Linked DNA regions of Drosophila melanogaster. The protein of the gene in region 1 interacts with the protein of each later gene in a pairwise test. Each region holds a gene or a part of one and is shown on either strand. Other genes may lie near its edges.

Evidence for each region.
Region 2: the proteins of vers (region 1) and Odj interact in a two-hybrid assay, tested with the Drosophila melanogaster proteins (2 studies listed by BioGRID).
Region 3: the proteins of vers (region 1) and Sms interact in a two-hybrid assay, tested with the Drosophila melanogaster proteins (2 studies listed by BioGRID).

The regions. Positions count from the first base shown.
Region 1 is NT_037436.4:12,114,047-12,118,975, forward strand, and holds vers (versatile), read left to right. Parts: upstream 1-2,054; 5' UTR 2,055-2,185; coding exon 2,186-2,413; intron 2,414-2,717; coding exon 2,718-3,124; intron 3,125-3,197; coding exon 3,198-3,325; intron 3,326-3,390; coding exon 3,391-3,803; 3' UTR 3,804-4,009; downstream 4,010-4,929. Other genes in the region: ssp (sunspot), read left to right, coding at 4,269-4,580, 4,642-4,865, 4,926-4,929.
Region 2 is NT_033777.3:17,806,495-17,811,562, forward strand, and holds Odj (oddjob), read right to left. Parts: upstream 2,729-5,068; 5' UTR 2,624-2,728; coding exon 2,507-2,623; intron 2,453-2,506; coding exon 1,722-2,452; intron 1,662-1,721; coding exon 1,542-1,661; intron 1,485-1,541; coding exon 1,160-1,484; 3' UTR 913-1,159; downstream 1-912. Other genes in the region: CG17801 (uncharacterized protein), read right to left, coding at 1-395, 453-575; Alg1 (ALG1, chitobiosyldiphosphodolichol beta-mannosyltransferase), read right to left, coding at 3,086-3,305, 3,364-3,924, 3,986-4,545.
Region 3 is NT_037436.4:12,271,008-12,279,741, reverse strand, and holds Sms (spermine synthase), read left to right. Parts: upstream 1-2,490; 5' UTR 2,491-2,567; coding exon 2,568-2,852; intron 2,853-4,554; coding exon 4,555-4,666; intron 4,667-5,630; coding exon of another isoform or gene 5,631-5,739; intron 5,740-6,121; coding exon 6,122-6,244; intron 6,245-6,700; coding exon 6,701-7,284; coding exon of another isoform or gene 7,285-7,557; 3' UTR 7,558-8,086; downstream 8,087-8,734. Other genes in the region: INPP5E (inositol polyphosphate 5-phosphatase E), read right to left, coding at 1-1,082; Pbgs (porphobilinogen synthase), read left to right, coding at 8,467-8,734.

The DNA.
Region 1 (4,929 bases):
TTCTGCCCATCAATTGCTAGCAACAAAGCGCGTAGGCCAGCAACAACGACCATCGACCAACTGGCAACATGCGGCATGCTGCATGGAGCATGCAGCATGCAACAGACAACGGACAACATTCAACAATGCGACATTGCACGGGCCTTAACTTAAATTATGCGCCAAACAAATAAGGTTTCGCCCAGTCTCAACTTCGGAGCCCGTCTCATAATGATGCCATGGGGCCATCGGCAAGTTGTTAATGTTCATGCACTGAAAGTATATATTTAATATTAAAACGAAAACTATATGCTAGCATTTAAAAATTGTTCAATTTTATGCAAACTTATTGCCTTACTACTAAATATTCAAAGCTTATATTGCTTGAAATGTTTTTTTAGTTTATTGATTGGATTTTTTTTGAGTGTGGAACAGTGGCTGTGTAATGTCGCCAGTTGCACAAAGTCATGGCCACAGTTGTCGGGCTTTTTCCTCCAAATGCGATGGGGTTGCCGAGCGGATGGCAAAAAAGAAACAATGTCAGCAACCGCAAGAAACAATTAAGTTGGCTCGACACAATGAGGAAAGCTACGATCAACAAGACAGTTGGATCACCGACTTTATGTGCTGCTGCCTGAATTGGACTGGGATTGGGATCGGGATCGGTACTAGAATAGAGTGGAATGGATCGGTATGGTATGGTATGGTATGGAGTGGAGTGGAGTAGAGTGGAGGGAGCCGTGGCATCATAATTGCAGTCCCAGTTGCAGATTTCCTATTTCCTATGAAAAAAATTTTTACACATTTCCAGATCGTAAAATTAAGAGTTTTGCATTAATGCGATATATAAAGATGCTTAACATATATGATACTTATTATAACTATATCGGCTAAGATATTTAACTTCTTCAAGTAAATGAAATTGTTCTACCTTTAAAGTGCATTCAATATAGCCCTGATATTCCTTCTTATCTGGGCCATCTAACAGCTGCTGCTGCTGCGGCACGAGCCAAAAGTCATTAAAAAATAAAAAGACTTCTCGATGGCAGAGAGCAGCTTTTTCGATTAAGTGACAGGTTAAATGCTAAACCATAAGTTTTGGCCACAAGCAGCTGGCAATCACCGAGCACGAGCCACAAACTTTTGCAGCCGGCCGAAATGCAGGAGCCAGGAGACTACACTGAGAATTACAAATTAAATGGAGCAGTTTTCAATGTATTAATCTGTGAAACAATGTCTGAATTTTTTCCCAAATGAATTGTATTGTTTTAAAGAATGTAACATATTAATATATGGACAGACTGATATTGTAACCCTATTGTTGGCCGGATTTGTTCACTTTTTCTCCATGTGAGAACGGCAAGAGTCGGAAGACAAGAGAATCATTCGAAACCGGTTGCAAGTCTCCCACAGGCACCTTCTGTCTGATGCGACGACGTGCGTCGGTCCAACTATAACCATTAGTCGCAATCTTTGGGCAATTGTCGCTGATTGCCGTCGTCCGTTGTGCCTTGTGCTTTTTCCAGATACAGATGCAGATGCAGATGCTGTTCGCAGATGCAGATACATTTGCTGCGGCAAATGCCTGCTGACCCATCTTGATTAGCTAAAAGTGCGTGCGAAATCCACATAGAATGACATCTGTGGTAATTGTCCTTACATCAATTCATTTCAATTAAATGATCTTTATTGTATTAGGAGGCAGTGCCTAACAAATATAAATGCTAAAGCAAATGAAATGCACTTCATTTGAATTGGTAAAGTAAATAAAATAATTGATGCAAGAAAATATGTATTGAAGAGAGATATTTTTGTTGGAACACTTAGTTTTATTATTGAGCTATAAGCCAAACAAGAGGACTTTGATACATTTAACTTAAATCGCGTTTGATTTACTGATAACGTTTACTTTAACAATATCCAAATTACGAACATTTGAAGTCTTAACTAATAAAAACTTTTAAATTGCCCGCCATTTTAACCAGGGCTGCGTATTAATGTTAAATTATCGATAAGCCAAACCAATAAACAGTGTTCAAAAACTTCACTAACTGCAACAATCGATATTACTGCACATCTATCGACTCTTGTTGCATCTCTAGGACAACAGGAACAGGAATTACAAAAGATATTTTTCCACCAATTATCAAAATAAAAACACAACAATTCACGCTATCTAGCGCTGGACACAAAAGACCGCAACGTAATGCCGTCCAGAAATATTGACGATGCCGCCGGCGCCAAGGAGGTTCACCGAAGTACAAGGAATTCACTGATCGGCCCGAAGAGCAAGCGAATCGCCCTAAACAGTCGCAATCGCAGTCTTGCTGCCGCCGAAAAGAAAACTCAGTCGCAGCTGTCATTCCCGCCAAAATCGGAGTACGAGAAGTTCTACGAGACCGTCTTCCTGGCGGAGGATTTGCAGCCGGAGGAAGTGAGTCCATCGCCCCACATGGGTTGTTGGGGTACTTACCCGGTTTTACCGAGTACAGCCACACACCAAATATCTTGTTTACCTATCCCACATGGGTGGCAATAGACCTGTTTACCTTTTCATAATGTGTTTTGGCACTACAAAGCGAGATTCGTTAAAACATGTGATAGGATATCAAATTTGACCTAATTTCTGTATGAAAGTCCACTTCAGTTACATAGTCCAACATGGACCACTAGCGAACATACTAAAATTCTAATTAATCACTCAGTAACCATGCTTCTAAACCAACTAACTCTTCTAGAATATAACACCAGAACGTCGTAAGCCAGGACCGCGCATGAAGAGCTCACTCCAAGCCCTGTTGAGCGATGAAGGATCACCGACGGGACCACAGCGAACCGCCAAGATAAACGTTGCACAGAAAATGGTCGTTGAGCCAGCGATCCGAGCCAATGGCATCTCGCCATTGCCCAAGAATGTTGGCAAGGAGGAAAAGTTTGAGGACTACTATACGAAAACGGAGCGACACGTTTGGAAAAAGGATGCGGAGAAGATGTTGCTGCAACTGTGGGCACAGCATTTGAAGGATTTTCGTGGAGAGTCCAAGAATGTGATCATCTACCGGCAAATGGCTAGGGAGATGAGTCAGTTTGGGCCCAGCCACACGGAGCTTAAAACCAAAATGGACAATTTGTCGCGAAAGTATAGGTGCGCTCTTATATTTTGCATACCAAAAGTTTTTATTTTTATAGTATATTAACTTTTATATTGGTATTTACAGAATAGAAGCTGAGAGAGTTCGGGAAACTGGAGTGCCATCCAAGTGGGAGCACTTTCATAAGCTTCAAGCACTTCTGATTGGCACGAAATCAGTTGATGTCTTCGAAGATATTACCGCCGAAAATCCAGGTAAAGTCGTAGTGCAATAAATGCTAGTTATGTCATTATGTCTTAAAAATACGCTAATTTTACAGCTCAAGCTTTGTTCAGCGATGAGGATTATGAGCCTGAGGAATTGTCTTCATTAAAAGACGAGCCTATGGCCGGGGACGATGGGAACGTATTCGAAAGTGATATGGTTGCTAGCAAAGCCATGAAAAGAACGCGAACTCCCTCTCCCAGTATTCCGGAAATCCCGGAAGAAGACGAGGAGGAGGAGGAGGAGGAGGAGGATGATGACCACATGAAGGATCTCTCCCCATCGCCAATTTCAAAATGTCAGACAAAACGGAAAGCATCGAACAACCATTCGGACAGACTCCTTGAAATAGAGGAGGAAAAACTGGCGATCGAGCGAGAAAAGCTGCAGGTTATGAAGGATGCACTGCTGGAGCTAAACGCATTTCACAAAGATATTGTTTATTTGCTTAAGCATAACAATCAGTAGTGTAAATATTAAGTGTTATACGTAGAAGTAGCGTGGTGTTACTTTTTCAGCAAAATATACAACTAAAACAGTGAATATTTAATGTAATATTGCTTCAACTTCAAATTAATCTAAATATATATATATATATTGTAAAAAGCTAGATTTTGCATTGTTATGATCTTACAAATTAGTTTCTTAAGTAAAAATAAATGCAATGAAATTATATTTTACTTTTTTTAGCAAAACTTTAATTACTTACTTTACTTTAATATTATAAATTTGTTTTAAATCGTATTTGTTACATTTAGTTTCTCAATTCGTAAAATGTTTTTTTATTTGTATTTTAGATATAATTTAAATCGATATCATAGAACTATCGATAGATATATGAAGCCAATACCGACCATTTCTAGAAAAATCGATATCGAGCTGCTGCCCATCTCTAGGCACATTTTGTTTATACTTTTCGAGCGTAAGGACGACATGATTGAGGCCCGCACGATGCAGGACGTATCAAAATTCGAATCCAACCAGGTGATCTCGGCGAAGGTGCTCCGCGGCGAGTACCGGCTACTACGACGCAAGCAGCGCGGCTCCGTGTGGAAGGTGTATCGGGAAATCGTGCGCACCGATGGTGCCATAATCAATGGACTCTACTTCTGCACGGGCTGCAAGCGCGTCATGCGATCCTTCAACACGTCCAATCTGCGCACCCACAAGTGCCATGTGGACTACCTGCGTACCGAGGAACTGTGCGAGGAGGGGATCGCGGAAATCCATCCCCCTAAACTAGACGTACGTACAACGACGCCATTAGAAGTCAATAGTAGTCCAAATTACCATGTCTCACTTGCAGGATTCGTTGGAGCGCCGCCTGAGCTGGAACTCCTTTCAGCCGTCCGAGTGGTCATTCCACGCGGTCGAACTGCTGCTCGAGCTTTGGGCAAGGCACTGCGTCGATTTGCGAGACTCACGCAAGCGGGTCCAGGTTATCTGGAAAATGACGGGCGAGATGAAGTCACTGGGTTTCACGTTCACGGAGATAAAGAACAAAATTGATGACATGGGCCAACAGTATCGGTAATAAGTGAATATACTTATTTAAGCATATTCCTTATCTAATATTACAATTTATTTCAGGCGA
Region 2 (5,068 bases), on another chromosome or scaffold:
ACTTTGTTAGGCAAGTTTTCATTTGCAAATGAAGGAGTCTCAATTAATGGATTTTTATGCTTAAATATTAAGGGGGTTTCCGAATCATAAGGATTATGTGGTTCGTTTCTCCTATCCTCATGGGCGAGATTTAAATCAATATCGGATTCCTCTGCTTTTTTGTCAAATGGATAGTTTTCTGAATCATATGATTCCTCCGATTCCAAGTCACTGGAATCCCCTTCTGGCTCTATATCGGATACAGTGCTTTCTAGATCCTCATCAAGCCCAGATTCCCGCCTCAGCGTTGCTTCATTGTGAACTCGTTGAATGCGCTTCTTTAACTTAATCGATGTGTTCAAGTCATTTAAACAAGATGGGCAAATATGACGCGGCTGGCGTTCATTCTGTTCTAACTGTAAATGGAGTAAATGGGTTATGCCATTCACGCACACAAGAAACCATCAACATACCCATATTCCAGTGAGATCCTTGATCTTGGCCAGAACTTCCAGGCAAAAAATTATCGTGGGATTCAGGTGACAGAAACACGAGGCGCACAAATGGCATTGCGAAGGCTTTTTCATTTCAAACATATGATCATTTATCCCGCTGAATTCCCAAAACAATCAGCTGTAGTTTAATTGATTTTATGTTGTCAATTATGGAATAAAAACGGTAAAAGAGCGTACGCAATCCGAGAATTTCTGTTTACTCTCTCTAAGCAGCAAAATTTGTATGAATTACCTGTTTCATGGCGTTACCAGATAGGTGTGGAAAAACTAACTGTTCTTATTTCCTAGAAACCAGGGAACATCGAGCTAGTTTTTATAATTTAAAATTTATATATTATAAACGGGAGGTTAAATTTTCCCAAAAAGAGAGGTTCAAGCTAAAACACACGTTCGGCTAATTCCTGACGTTTTTGAAATTGGTTCCATATAATTTTTATTAAAATAAGCGCGCTGTGCAATTAGAATAAAATATATTTTATAACAAATTGTAATCTAAGACCGACGTTGAATTCCTTCCACACTGGTGCTAATCGTACGGCTGGCTGGTGATTCAAAGGATTTCTCTGAACCACCGAAAAAGTCAGATAGTTTGCATCCCTGGCATTGTGGCGTGTGGAGTGTGGAGTGTGTGGCGCCAACAGTCGATTTTTTTTGTGTGCTTAAAGTTAGGTGTACAGCTCCTCTCCATCGGGAATGGCTTCCTCGTACTCGAAGTCCTCAAAATTTGCGTCCTCATCCTGAAGTACCTCGTGGTCCTCATATTGTTCCTCGTCAATGTTATCTAACATTACGTCCAGTTCAGCCTGGTTGTCCTCCATTTCTGCCTGCCCCTCTTCCATATATCCCGGAAACTCCGCCGGATCGACTTCAGACTGGAATTCCTCTTTTGGACCATTAACCAGCAAGTTGACCCGCTTGCGGTGATACTTTGTGGAGTAGTGCCGATGCAAAAACTGCGCCTCCTTGAACTCCTTGTTGCATGTGAGGCAGCTGTGAAAGAATATGAGTTTGTACATCTATGGCTACGTATATTTCAATGATTCTTACATATGGACATCCGGTTGGTCACTCTTGTGCCCCTCCTCGTGCTTCAGCCGTCCCTTCTCGCTGTTGAATCGTTTGCCGCATATTTTGCACGGGTGCACCAGCTCGTTGGCATGCATTTGACTGTCAAGGTTTTTATGGTTTATATAGATAAGGACTTGTGATGATTAGGCCAGCACTCACCGTTCATGACGACAGCGGCTGGGACTATTGGCGAATCCCATACCGCAGAACTTGCAGACGTACGGTTTCTCGCCCTTGTGATGGACTCGAATGTGCAATCGGAGCAGTGGCATGGTGTAGAACTTGCGACCGCACTCGTCGCATGAAAACTTCTCCTCGAAGTGCCGCAGCTTGTGATCCTTCATGTTGCTGTGATCGTTGAACGACCAACCGCACTGGTCGCACACGTATCGCTTTATCGAGCGATCGACCTTGGGTTTTGGTCGCCGCTTTCTGGGCTTTCGGACGTGCTCCCGCGGAGGTGGCGGTGGACTATCTGCCTTCTCGACCACAGGCACACGAAGCCGCTTGACCCTGACTCGTGGGGACTGTCTGTTCGGGAAATTTTGGTCCTCGATCCGGATTTTTTTGGCCGGAGGATATCTTAAAATCGGCTTTTCGTCCTCCAAGAAATCCTTATCATCATCCATTAAATCCTTATCATCGTCCAGTAGCTCCTTATCGTCCTCGGTGTCTACTGTATCATCCAGCACCTCCCGTTTCAGCAGCGGATCACTAAGCACTGGCGAAACCTCCGGGGAGCCTTTTGAGGCGACACCCGCCTTCGAGGAGATCCTCTGGTGGAGATTTGCGTGCGTCTCCAGGCATCGCTGCCTGAAGGCTACGGCTTGGGTCAGGTCCAGGAGACAACAAGCGCATATGTGCTGGGGCAGCATATTCTCTAAAACGATCTGGAAATGCATAGATTATGAATAATTCCGGACAACAAATAAAAGGGACGCCACCTCTAAGCCCGTGATTTGCTCGATGGCCATCCGAATGCGATGATTGCGCTTCTCGAAGATGTTCTTTGGGTGCGGCGTGAAGATGCGCTCGCCGCAGATCCGACACTCGGTGCTCATTCTTTCGAAACTAAATAAAATTGATTAATTTTAATTACAAATTATAGTAATTTTTGCGCAGCCGGTTTGGTTTTGAAGTGTGACCGTTGTCCGCAACTAGAGGTGTCAAACATTGATGTTTTTAAAATTTTCCGATATATCGATGTTTATTTCAGACTATCGATATTGGTGTTCAAATAAAAAAAAATCGGCACTGCATCCCGTGAATTTTCTTTTTTAATTGAAATACATAATACTCCTAAGAAAACACGCTTTACAAGCGAATAAATAGTTGTATATATCTCCTTTTTTTAGCAATTTATTTTTATCTTTAGGCTACGATTATAAAAATAAAATAAGCATCATAAGCAAGTTTGAAGCTCTTTTGTGTACAGAATTTGTAGTAACTAGCCTAGAAAAAGCGATTAGCAATCAAAGGAAGTCTCTCATAACGTGTAATTGTCAAATCTTTGTCAAAATGCTCTATAGAAATGCCTCCAGTACGGGGGCCGCGATCAGGCGCCAACTCTCCCGCCATCGCAGCTCCTGGAACTCCTGGATTTTGCGCTGAAAACCAGCTCTTGTCTCCAGGATGCTGGGATTCTTTGGAAAATTTTCGAACCAAATCCTCAGCTGCTCGGCCAGCTGAACATGGTCGCCAAACACGAAGCCATTCTCGCCGTGCTTCACCAGCTCATCCAGGCTAAAGAGCCATTTGTAGAAGTTAGTAAGTAATAATAGTAAATGGCAGGATTAGTTACCACTTGAAATCGTAGGCGCAGACAGGCAGCCCGCTGCCGAACATGTCGACCACCTTCATGGGCAGGTCGAGCCCACTGGTGCTCCAGTGCAGACACACGCCCAGGTCGGCGCTGGCCAGAACAGTGGGGTAGTCCTCGATCTCTAGCCAGGGCGTGATCACCGACACCTTCTGCCATTGCAGCTTCTCGATCTCCGCCACATAGTGCTCCTTTTGTGGCCCCTTTCCGGTGATGATACACAGCAGGGAAGGATAAACCAACGGCTCTGCTTGCGCAGTCTCCTCGTAAGCTTGCAAAGCCTTAAGCAGTATACCGAAGTCCTCGTCCGGCGTCCAACTGGTGCTGGAAACCAGCACGGCTTGTCGCTGTGGTCTGTACTGCACAACACCGCTGGCCAGCTTTTGGGTAAGAGCGGTGGCCTCCAGAACATCGGATTGTTCGGCGTCCTTGGCCTGGAACTGTGGGTAGTCTTTGGCCAGCTTCAGGTACAGCTCGTGCTTGTGAGTCAAGTCGATGGGATGGAATTGCGCGGGCGCACGATCATACAGAACTTTGACAGGCCTGAAAGATGAGTCGCGGCTGAGTTATTTACTTCGTTTAGATGGATGTGATGAGGACTTACCCAATGCCCCAGTTTTGCTGCAGATCCTCTTGCATGGCCCGCGTCACACAGAAGTGTGTGTGTGCCTTGGAGCCGAAGTATCGCTCCAGTCGCCTAACCAATCGTATTAGAGGACTCTGCTCTCCCTTCGACATTCCCAATGCCAGCACTGTGTACGTGTAGTTGTGCCAATCGATGGCCAGCTTGGTTCGTGTGACCGCACAGTACAGATAGCACACAATCAGCGTGGGAATGCCGGGCGGATTCTGGACGAGTAGGAAGCTGGGACGGCCAATGGAGATGAGAGCCATCAGCAGACTGAGCGTCTGCCAAAAGGCCTTGAAGAGCAGGCGCAGTTTGGGTGTTAGGTTCGTCACTGGGACGGCAGTTAGCTCGTGGATTCGGCAACGTGGATGTTGAGTCAGTTCCTCCAGCGGCCTCGTCTCCAGATACCCAATCATGTCCACGTGGTAGTTCTCCTCGAGAAGACTCTGGGCATGGTACTGCATGCGCGGACTGCGTCCAATGTCGCCCAGCACGATGACGCAGGCGTTGCGCTTCTTGGGCAGCACTTCCGCCATCGCTGGGCAAGAAAAATAAGCGCTTTATCTGCGATCAAAGGGAATTGCGCGTTTTGTTTGTGATTCGGTTGAATCCTGTGGAATAGTGGGACCGTACTCAGCCGCTGCAAAATGCCTCGGAACTCTGCTATTATGGCGCTATGTTAGGGTGGTTCATTTCAACATTTATTTACTACCTGTTTTAAAAATTTGGGTATTTTATCATTTTATCCATCTATTCTATTTCATTTAATTTTTTAAGATGAGTAATCAGAATTCTTAGATTTATATGAGCGAATATATATACTGTTTAGATTTCAAAGTATGAAGTGATAAAATAGCATAATTTTAAGCTACATTTTTTCTCTAACATTGCATTTACATTTCTTAACAGTACTGTAAAATAAAATGAGTGCGGTTAACAGGGAAATAACTTAACAGTTGCCGAGTGACCGTACCTGCTTTGCGTATGTATGATCTTAATTGCAGTAAACGTGACTGGTCACACCACACCGCTCAAACTGAATTCTCCATTCAAATTCGG
Region 3 (8,734 bases), 160 kb from region 1:
GCGTTATCCGCCGGGATCAGATTCAATGCATGTGCCGCCATTAAAGTCTGGCGAGCCAGATTAGATCCCGAACCCTGTCTTTGGAGTGTCATGTTCTCGTGCGACATAAACCTCACGCCTGGCTGCTCCTCTATGTGTTCTATTCCATCTGGCTGAGTGGCTATATTCGGCGAGGACATGTGCTGTGGTGTGGTGGCTCTTTTAATGTCACCAGGTTCTGTGGCTGCCTGAAGAGGGGGTAACTCTTGTCCAGGTGGATAGAGCTTTAAACGCAGTCGGGATCGGCAGGCTGATACTGCCATGGGTCGAATGGGCGAGCGATTTTGAAGGCTTTCGCTCCGTGCCACCGAAGCGCTGGCCGCAGCAGGGCTGCAGTGGGCAAAGAAGGTTTTGCTGGCCACCGGTGATTCTGGCGCACTGGCACACTCACTGGACGGACGCGGTCGGTGTGAGGATCCTTCGCTGGAGTGCAGCGAGCCCGAGTTGTTGTCCACCATGCTCCAACTTAGCGAGAGGTTATCGCGCCGCAGAACACTGTTGCTATCCGGTATGGAGTTATAACGCACGGTCACCGGCGGTGTCATCGGTTTCTTTTCCGCCTTGCAGCACAGACTGAACTGGTGACTAAATCTATTGTGATTGGGTGAGCGATGCTTGGGCGACTTGCGCCGCATCACCACGTCGGCTCCTCCATCGCTTTGGGAACCAGCATCCGTACTGTGCCGGTGCGAGTGATTCTTTCCTTTCGAGGAACTTGGCTTTGCACGCCTGTGGAAGCTGATCAGCCCGCTGTGCGACTTCTCCAGCGGCAGCGTTTGGCTTTTGAGGGTGCTCCCATTGTTATTGACATGGTTTGCAGACGTATCTGCATTGCACTTGGCGAAACTGACATCGTATTGGCCACAGGCGGACACGGGTCTCTGTTGTAATCTTGGCGATTCGGGTGTCACGGGATGTGGCTCCACCTTACTAGGTCGCTTGCTCAGCAAACCGAACAGGGAGCTCGCGGTCTTGTGACCGGATCTGGGACTGCTGGTGGAACTGGTTATCCGTTCCTCACTTCCCGCGCTGCTGTGCTGCATGTTGGCTTTAGTCCGAACGAAATGATTCTATCATCTAAGGTGAAGGTGCTAAGTGGTTATCATGCCCCCCTTTTGTCAAGTTAATTCGCTCTATCTGCCGGATCTCTCGAACCGAGCTCATTGTGCGATGGCCTCTGGCTGCCGGCCATATAAATAGTAAAGCCAGACGTCATCGAGCGAGCACAATGCAAATGCGACTTTGGTCCGGCGTTCTGGCTGGTCGCAATGCAAATTATTTTGGGCTCGGCGATGACGTACACGAAATCAGGCTAATTGGGCTGACTGGCGGCGATTGCGTGTGCTGTTCTGTAAGATTTTAATGAAGGTAAACATTTAGGCGGGTTGGTAATACCAAGGGTATAATACACTTACTAACCTGCAAGCAACTAAATAAAAAAAACACATATGTGGGCAGATCCTTTGGGGCGAGAGAGCTGAAAGGATTCAGAAAATCAATATGCTGGGTAATAACTGTGGCGACACCGTCGCGATATATAAAATGGGGAGGATTGTGGGCGATTTGGGGGGTGGTTGGTCGCGGAAGGGTGGTCTTTGGCGACGACGTAACAACATTGGCATGCTGCGGCGCCCACGCATCCAAGCACTGAGCACTCAGCATCTGAACGTCTGAACACAAGCACAATATCCGTCGTCTGCTGGCTGATTCGATTCTCTGGGATCGAGAGATTTATAATTAGCAGACCATTGTTCCCGTCAGCGCAGCCTTGTTGTTCTTGTGTTGTTGGCCTACGTCTAGCATAAAAGCAGCAACAATAGCACATAGCACACATGCGATATTCAAGTTCAGGTTCAGGTGCGCATTGATTTCGCTCTTGGTGTGCTTTTCATGTTCCGCACTGGTACGCACTACCCTTCCACGCTGCTGTCACCTATGCGATTTATGTAATTTTTGTATGATTTACCGCGTTCCAATGTTGTTTACACCCAAAAACTCCGAGCAAGTGCGGAACTTGTCGTGGGAACTGCGATTTAGGGGTGGCAAAAGTGGGCAGCCAACTGCCGATAAGTGGGAGCACGTATCGATAGGTGCGGGCGGGGGTGTTTCAGTGGCTGGGTTGTGACACGATAGATTTAAAGAAATATTTCTTAAATATTAATTAAGATTTGTATTTAATTGTGTTTCCAGCAAAACGTACCAATGTAATATTTATTAGGTAAACATACATAACAAAGCGCTATATATTCAATACAAAATTGTGGGCCAAGTACCCTTCAAAAATTTATTAAGAGGAATTTATAACATTATTATTAAATGTACTTTATTATTTTTTACAATTATTTAATAAACCGTTTCTTATATTAAAAAAAATAATAAGGTTTAATTAACTGTATTATACAGCCACACTAGAAGTGCAATCGAAATCGACTTGCTATCGGTGCTCGTAAGGCGCATCACTAGTATTTCGTTTCGGTCGGTACGCGGTTCAGCGTTTTTGTTCAACGGATTAGCGCAAGTTAAGCACGATGGCGGCCCAGACGATACTGTTTGATTTCACGCTGGACAAGGACAAGACGGCGGATGAGGAGGCGCGCCTCCAGGTGGCCAAAATCCTGCGTAACGAGCTGGAGCAGCTGTTCCCCCAGCTGGAGCTGGCCTACTCGATGGAGTCGCCGGAAAACGGCTACTTTGCGGTGCTGCACGAGAACAAGGACACGGTGATTACCTGCCGCATCTTCCAGCACGGCCTGCTGACGCTCAACGTGGAGTACTTCCTGCCCGATGGCAAGGAGCCGAGCATATCCTTCGACGTACGTATTCAGTGCAATTTAGATTCCTTTAAAAAACTCAAAAAACAAGCAAGCAAACACCCGACAGCAGCACCACCACCCACATCTTTCTTACCCTCCCAGTTTCCGTGTCTCGGCTGATTAGTTGGGGAAAGGGTTTTCCACCCACCGGGTAAAATTGATTTTCCGCGCACTTGTACCCGAGTGTTGTTGCTTCATCATACATACATGTGGGGGTGTGTGCATGGCAAGTGGGCAACCATGTGGGTGGGTTGATTGGTTGTGTGTGTGAGTGTGTTCCTGACCACTCGGCGAGCTCAAATGGCCGGCACTTGGTCAGGGTCAGTTCGTCCGTCCTTGGCCTCAAGTGATGGCTGCCCCCATCCCAGCACTTTCACCAGTTTCTATTATCTAACACCTCTGAAGCACACATCACATACATAGCGATTTCAGCTGGGCTTTGCTAGGTTAACTTGTCGTTCCGGTCCCGTTTCTATGCTTTTCACATTTGGCCGGAGCACGTGGGTTGGGTTCGACTCGCGATCTATTGATTGGCGCCCCTTTGGGGCATGGTACCCATACTAATAAGAAGAAAAACACCCGGAATATGCGGCCCTTATTACAGAAACCAGATTTCAGGTTACACCCTTAGGCACGCATTATTTCATTTGATACTTAAACTTTCTTATACCAGTTTACTCTACTTACGCATGCACATATAAACAAACCTAAGTCAACAAAATGACTGTTGATACCACAAATCTGAGGGTTTTCAAAATGACAACCAGTATTTGTTTGTAAAACAACAAAGAATATAAAATTTGATAGAATATTTCAATTTCTTCCATCATTTGTTTAAGTACATCTAAAATGCTAGAGAAAATGTCCCATGTACATATGCCTACAGCTACGGTAAGCTAAATAGCATCAAAAAAATTAAATTATGTCAAAAAGTCTAAAATTGTTTTGTTCTATAACTATAGCTTTAACAAAATCCCAAGTAAAATTTTTATAAAATTATATTTTTATACAATGATGGAGTTAGTTAGGATATAATCTCAACAAACCTTTGTACTTTATAAATAATTTAATCAAGTAATCGAACAAAGAAATCAACCTAAACCAACTTTTCTATAGGAGTAACTAATATTATCAGACCCATTATTATTTCCTCGTATCATTTGAAATGCTATATCTTGCCGATCGCAGCTGTTTTATTCGCGAGTGCGGAACTTTTCTTATCTAGCCGTCAATATTTTTTCTGCTTACGACTGTTTGCTGTTGGCCTGTGGATTTCGCAAGCCGCATGTGGCTAAGCCTTCTATTGTGATTTCTGTGATTTTGCAATAACATATGCCTGCTGCACATGCAACTAAACAAATGTGTCGCCAGAATGCACATACTTGCATGGCTACTAGCTATATCTAGATATAGGTATATATTCCCTTTTTCGTTTCGTTCTGTTCACTTTCCTTTTTCATAAGTATCAAGTATTTGGACTAAAAATAGTATTTTTCTTGGGCCGGGCTGCCTGTGTGTCGCCGTTTGGTGTGAGTGGGGTGGGTCGTTCGAAGAGTTTTCCGCGCCTGGCGGATGAAGGTCACCTTCCATTAATATAATTTATTCATACTGAGTACCCCAGCCCCCATCGAGCCAACATGCACATTTGTACATCCGACGCCCCCTTGCAAGAAGGACCTCAATAATGGAATTACCATTGCAGACCATGCGCACCATGGAACTGATTTTGCGGCAGAAATTTGATTCCGATCGGTCCAAGTACTTGCCGCCGATTAAACGCGGCGGATATATCGACATATATATGACTAGCTCAGGTTGGTCGAACTTAATGCAACCTACATATATGTACAATCAAAAAAAATCCAGTTTAGTTCCTGCTAGTTTCATTTGCAATGAATATATATAACTTATCTACTCAAACTCACTTCACATACAATTACCTACAATTTATGCCGAAATTCTCTTTCAAAATTCCACTGCAGAATCTAGAACACCTGTGCAGTTTTTCCACTAGTATTTCCGATTGCCGCCACCGCAAAGAAAATAAATAAAATTAGAAAAAAAACCCTCATGACTATCACATAAATTGGACACCGTATCGCAGCTGATGTAAATTCACCGAGTTGTCATTTCCAGCCCAGAATTTGAACCGCCTCCCAAGCTCTGCACATCTCCAAAGCCACCGATCATGTTAGCCTAGCGTGTTACCTTCTAGGGGATTACTTTTCCAGGCCACTCCTGCATGCTAGTTTGTCTAATCTTTGGAAGAAGCCTTCTACCTTTGCAGTAGTGGTGCCAAGTTGCTCATATTATTGTACTGTGGGTTTAATCTCTTTATACCTTTATGTATCCACGCTGATTTTATATCAGCTCCTTGGCATCACTGCAATTTAGCATACCCACTGTTCTAAGATTATTATTTAATTTAAATTACGTTTTATTTTCATATCTATTCCATCGACACTCAACCGATCCATCGATCATCATGAACAACCGCTGCCACCATCTCCTGGACCAAATTACACACCAAAATTGCCACGAACTTGTGAATAAATGTGTAAACTATTGAATTATACTTACGCCCCAACGCACATGTGTCACCTGCCCCGCCTCGAAATCGATCTCGTACTCGTATTCGCTCCACGTCGTACGCTCGCTCATAAATTGGTTCCTCAACAATTGACAATCGACTACAACAACACGAAAATATCAATACAACACGGTTTATAAAAAAAAAAAACAATATACTACTATGTAAAATCGAACGGACATCCGCAGAGCGGTAAGAGCCTGGAGAATGTCCTGGCAATCAAACTGAAGGCCATCAAGGCCCAGAAGCTGCCGACGCTGAAGCGCGGCGATGTCTCCAGGTACTTCCCATCGTCAGGTAAGGCAAACCCAATCCGTTTGGTTAAACATATTGCAAATAGAGCAAATACTACTCGTACTACCGCTACTGTATGTCATCCGAATTGTGTGTGATCGTATGACCGTATGACCATTGAGCGTATGCAGCACCATCGAGCTGATTGTATCAGAGTTCTTCTAGTGGCACCCAGCATGATAGATCATTTCAGTCATTTACTTCTGATTTTCTCTCTATCTATATCTCGTTTACTTTCCGTAAGAGTGCATTTCGTTGGTCTTAAACTTGTTTCTCTGCATGCGACGCCTAACAATTGAGCCGAAATCAGTACTAGTAATAATCAATATCGCACTTAATACGGTCACTAATAAGGCATCACTAATCCATGGCACATCTTCCGCAGATGAGCGCATCATCGAGTACGACATCGACAAGGTGGTCTTCGAGGCGCGCTCGCCCTTCCAGAAGATTCAAATCATGCACTCCAAGACCCTGGGCAACATGCTGCTCCTCGACGAGCTGCAGAGTAAGTAAACCATACCTAGTATAGGCATCTGAATGCAATAAGTGGCACATTCACACATTGATGCGCCAACGGTGTCAGGGTCACCAATCGATTAGTGGAAGTGCCGCAGTAAAGGTCACGTGCAATTGCCTTTAAGAAAAGGTCATCATAAATAAATATAAACTGCACATAAACATAATGCACAAAAGTAAATATTCCATATCACGGGCATTTTCTGGATGCTAATGCTATGTTACCTGACAATTATTCCATATCACGAACACCTAGTTGCTTGTTAACTAAATATAATGAAATATTCTTATTGCTTAAAAGAAGAATAAGAAAGCTGAATTTGAAAACATGAATTCTCGACTAGATTAAAAACTTTTTAAGCTGTCGGTTATGAAAAGGGTAATAGCAACTTCTTTTGATTCTTTTTTAAATATAGATGTCTAATTTCCCATTTTCCACGTACAGACATTGCTGAATCCGATTTGATTTACACGGAGACCCTGATGTGTCGCGGCGTGGAGAACTACGAGGGCAAGGAGATCTGCATCCTGGGCGGCGGTGATGGCGCCTTGTTGTACGAGCTACTCAAGGAGAATCCGAAGCATGTGGTGATGCTGGAGATCGATGAGCTTGTGATGCAAACCTGCAACAAATACCTCAACGTGATCTGCGGCGATGTGCTGGAGAAACGCAAGGGCGATCAGTACGAGATCATTGTGGGCGACTGTGTGGAGTACTTGAAGAAGTTCATCGCCGAGGGCCGCAAGTTCGACTACGTTTTTGGGGATCTTACGGACATACCCATAACCGATGCCCCGGAGGGCGAGACCTGGGATTTCATTCGTACCATCTTCGAGCACTCCTTCAAGGTGCTGAAACCCGACGGAAAGTATTTGACTCATGGCAATGGGTCCACCTGCAAGGTGCAGCTGCGTCTATTCGAGGAGCAGTTGAATTTGCTGCGTCCCAAGGTGAAGTTCACCACCACCAAGGCGTTTGTGCCGTCGTTCATGGAAGAGTGGCTCTTCTACCAAGTGACTTTCGCCTGACAAGCTCAGGTGGACTCCTCAGCAGCAGCAGTAGCTACTTCTAGCGCACCACCAACCGCCAGTCACACACCAGCATCACACAGCATAAGTCAGGAACCGGGAACCGTCGGAGAGATGCTCCAGCTGCACTCCTACACTGTCACTATCCATGGAGCAGCAGTCGGAGTTCAGGAGGAGGAAAATATGAATAATGGAGCCGTGGGTCAATTGAAACCGCGACCAAGGCGTCGAAAGAAGAAGCGTGTACACTACCATCACACGCTGGTTTCTTAGTCCAGGAAACACGGAATCCGATGCACAAGCTAATCGCCATCATCGAAACCATCGCAACAAAACCCAAGACAGAGGAAAACACGCACTTCCAATGGCTGTTACTTACAATTGAAAACCAAACCAAATACTGAACCCAATTCGTTTACGCTTAAGTTAGGCTTTAGTTCCGTTTCTCGTTCACTGATTTCAATGCTAAAAACTAAGACAAAAGTACAACCTTTAAGCAAGGACAGGCTAAAATAATAACTTATGTATTCGTGTTTATTTGAATTACGCCTAAGCATAGCATGTTGGCCAACTATTTGTAATATTTCGTATAACGTGTACATCTATATAATGTAGACCATATGTTTAGTTATCCATTAACAAGCAAAGTGGAGCGGGGAAGGCCCAAGGATCGAGGATGTGTGTATGTGGGTGTGAGGAAGCGTAGCAGGAACACCAACTTTTATTGCTGTAATAACGATTAATACCAAACATTTTAAACGGGAGAACTAATAAAGTTAAATAAATAGTCGTACGCAGAAATAAACAGTGTGGTTTTCTTTTATTTTACCGGGTATTTTAATAATAAATCCTGGAATTCAATAAATTACAAATTCAATAGCAATATTCAAGTAATACTACGCATACGCAGTGTTGACCTATCCTTAATCAATATGGATAAAAAATTAATTAAGGGATTTATCGCTATGAAATTCTTAATATAAATAAAATTTTATCTTAATTATTTATATAAGTTTTTAAATTTAATTATTTTATTTTATCGTGAGCCACCCTAATCTTTTCATGACAGTGTTGGACAACCGTGCAATAGAGCACGCACTAAATATGCCCGCGGGCAGTTGAACGTTAATTTCACTTGTTGTTACGTTGGTTTTAATTTTCACCGGGAGCTAAGCGAACAAAATGGAGCGGAAACTGCACAGTGGAATGCACCATGCCACGCTGCGGCAGCTGCAGGAGTCGGGCTGCGAGATAGCGCCGCACAATCTCATGTATCCGGTGTTCATCGTGAGCAACGACGACGATGTCCAGCCAATTGCCAGCATGCCAGGAATCTCGAGATTCGGACTGAATCGCCTGAAGGAGCACCTGGAACCGCTGGTGGCCAAGGGACTGTCGTCGGTGCTGCTCTTTGGCGTTGTGGACCCGGACATGAAGGATGAGCAGGCCT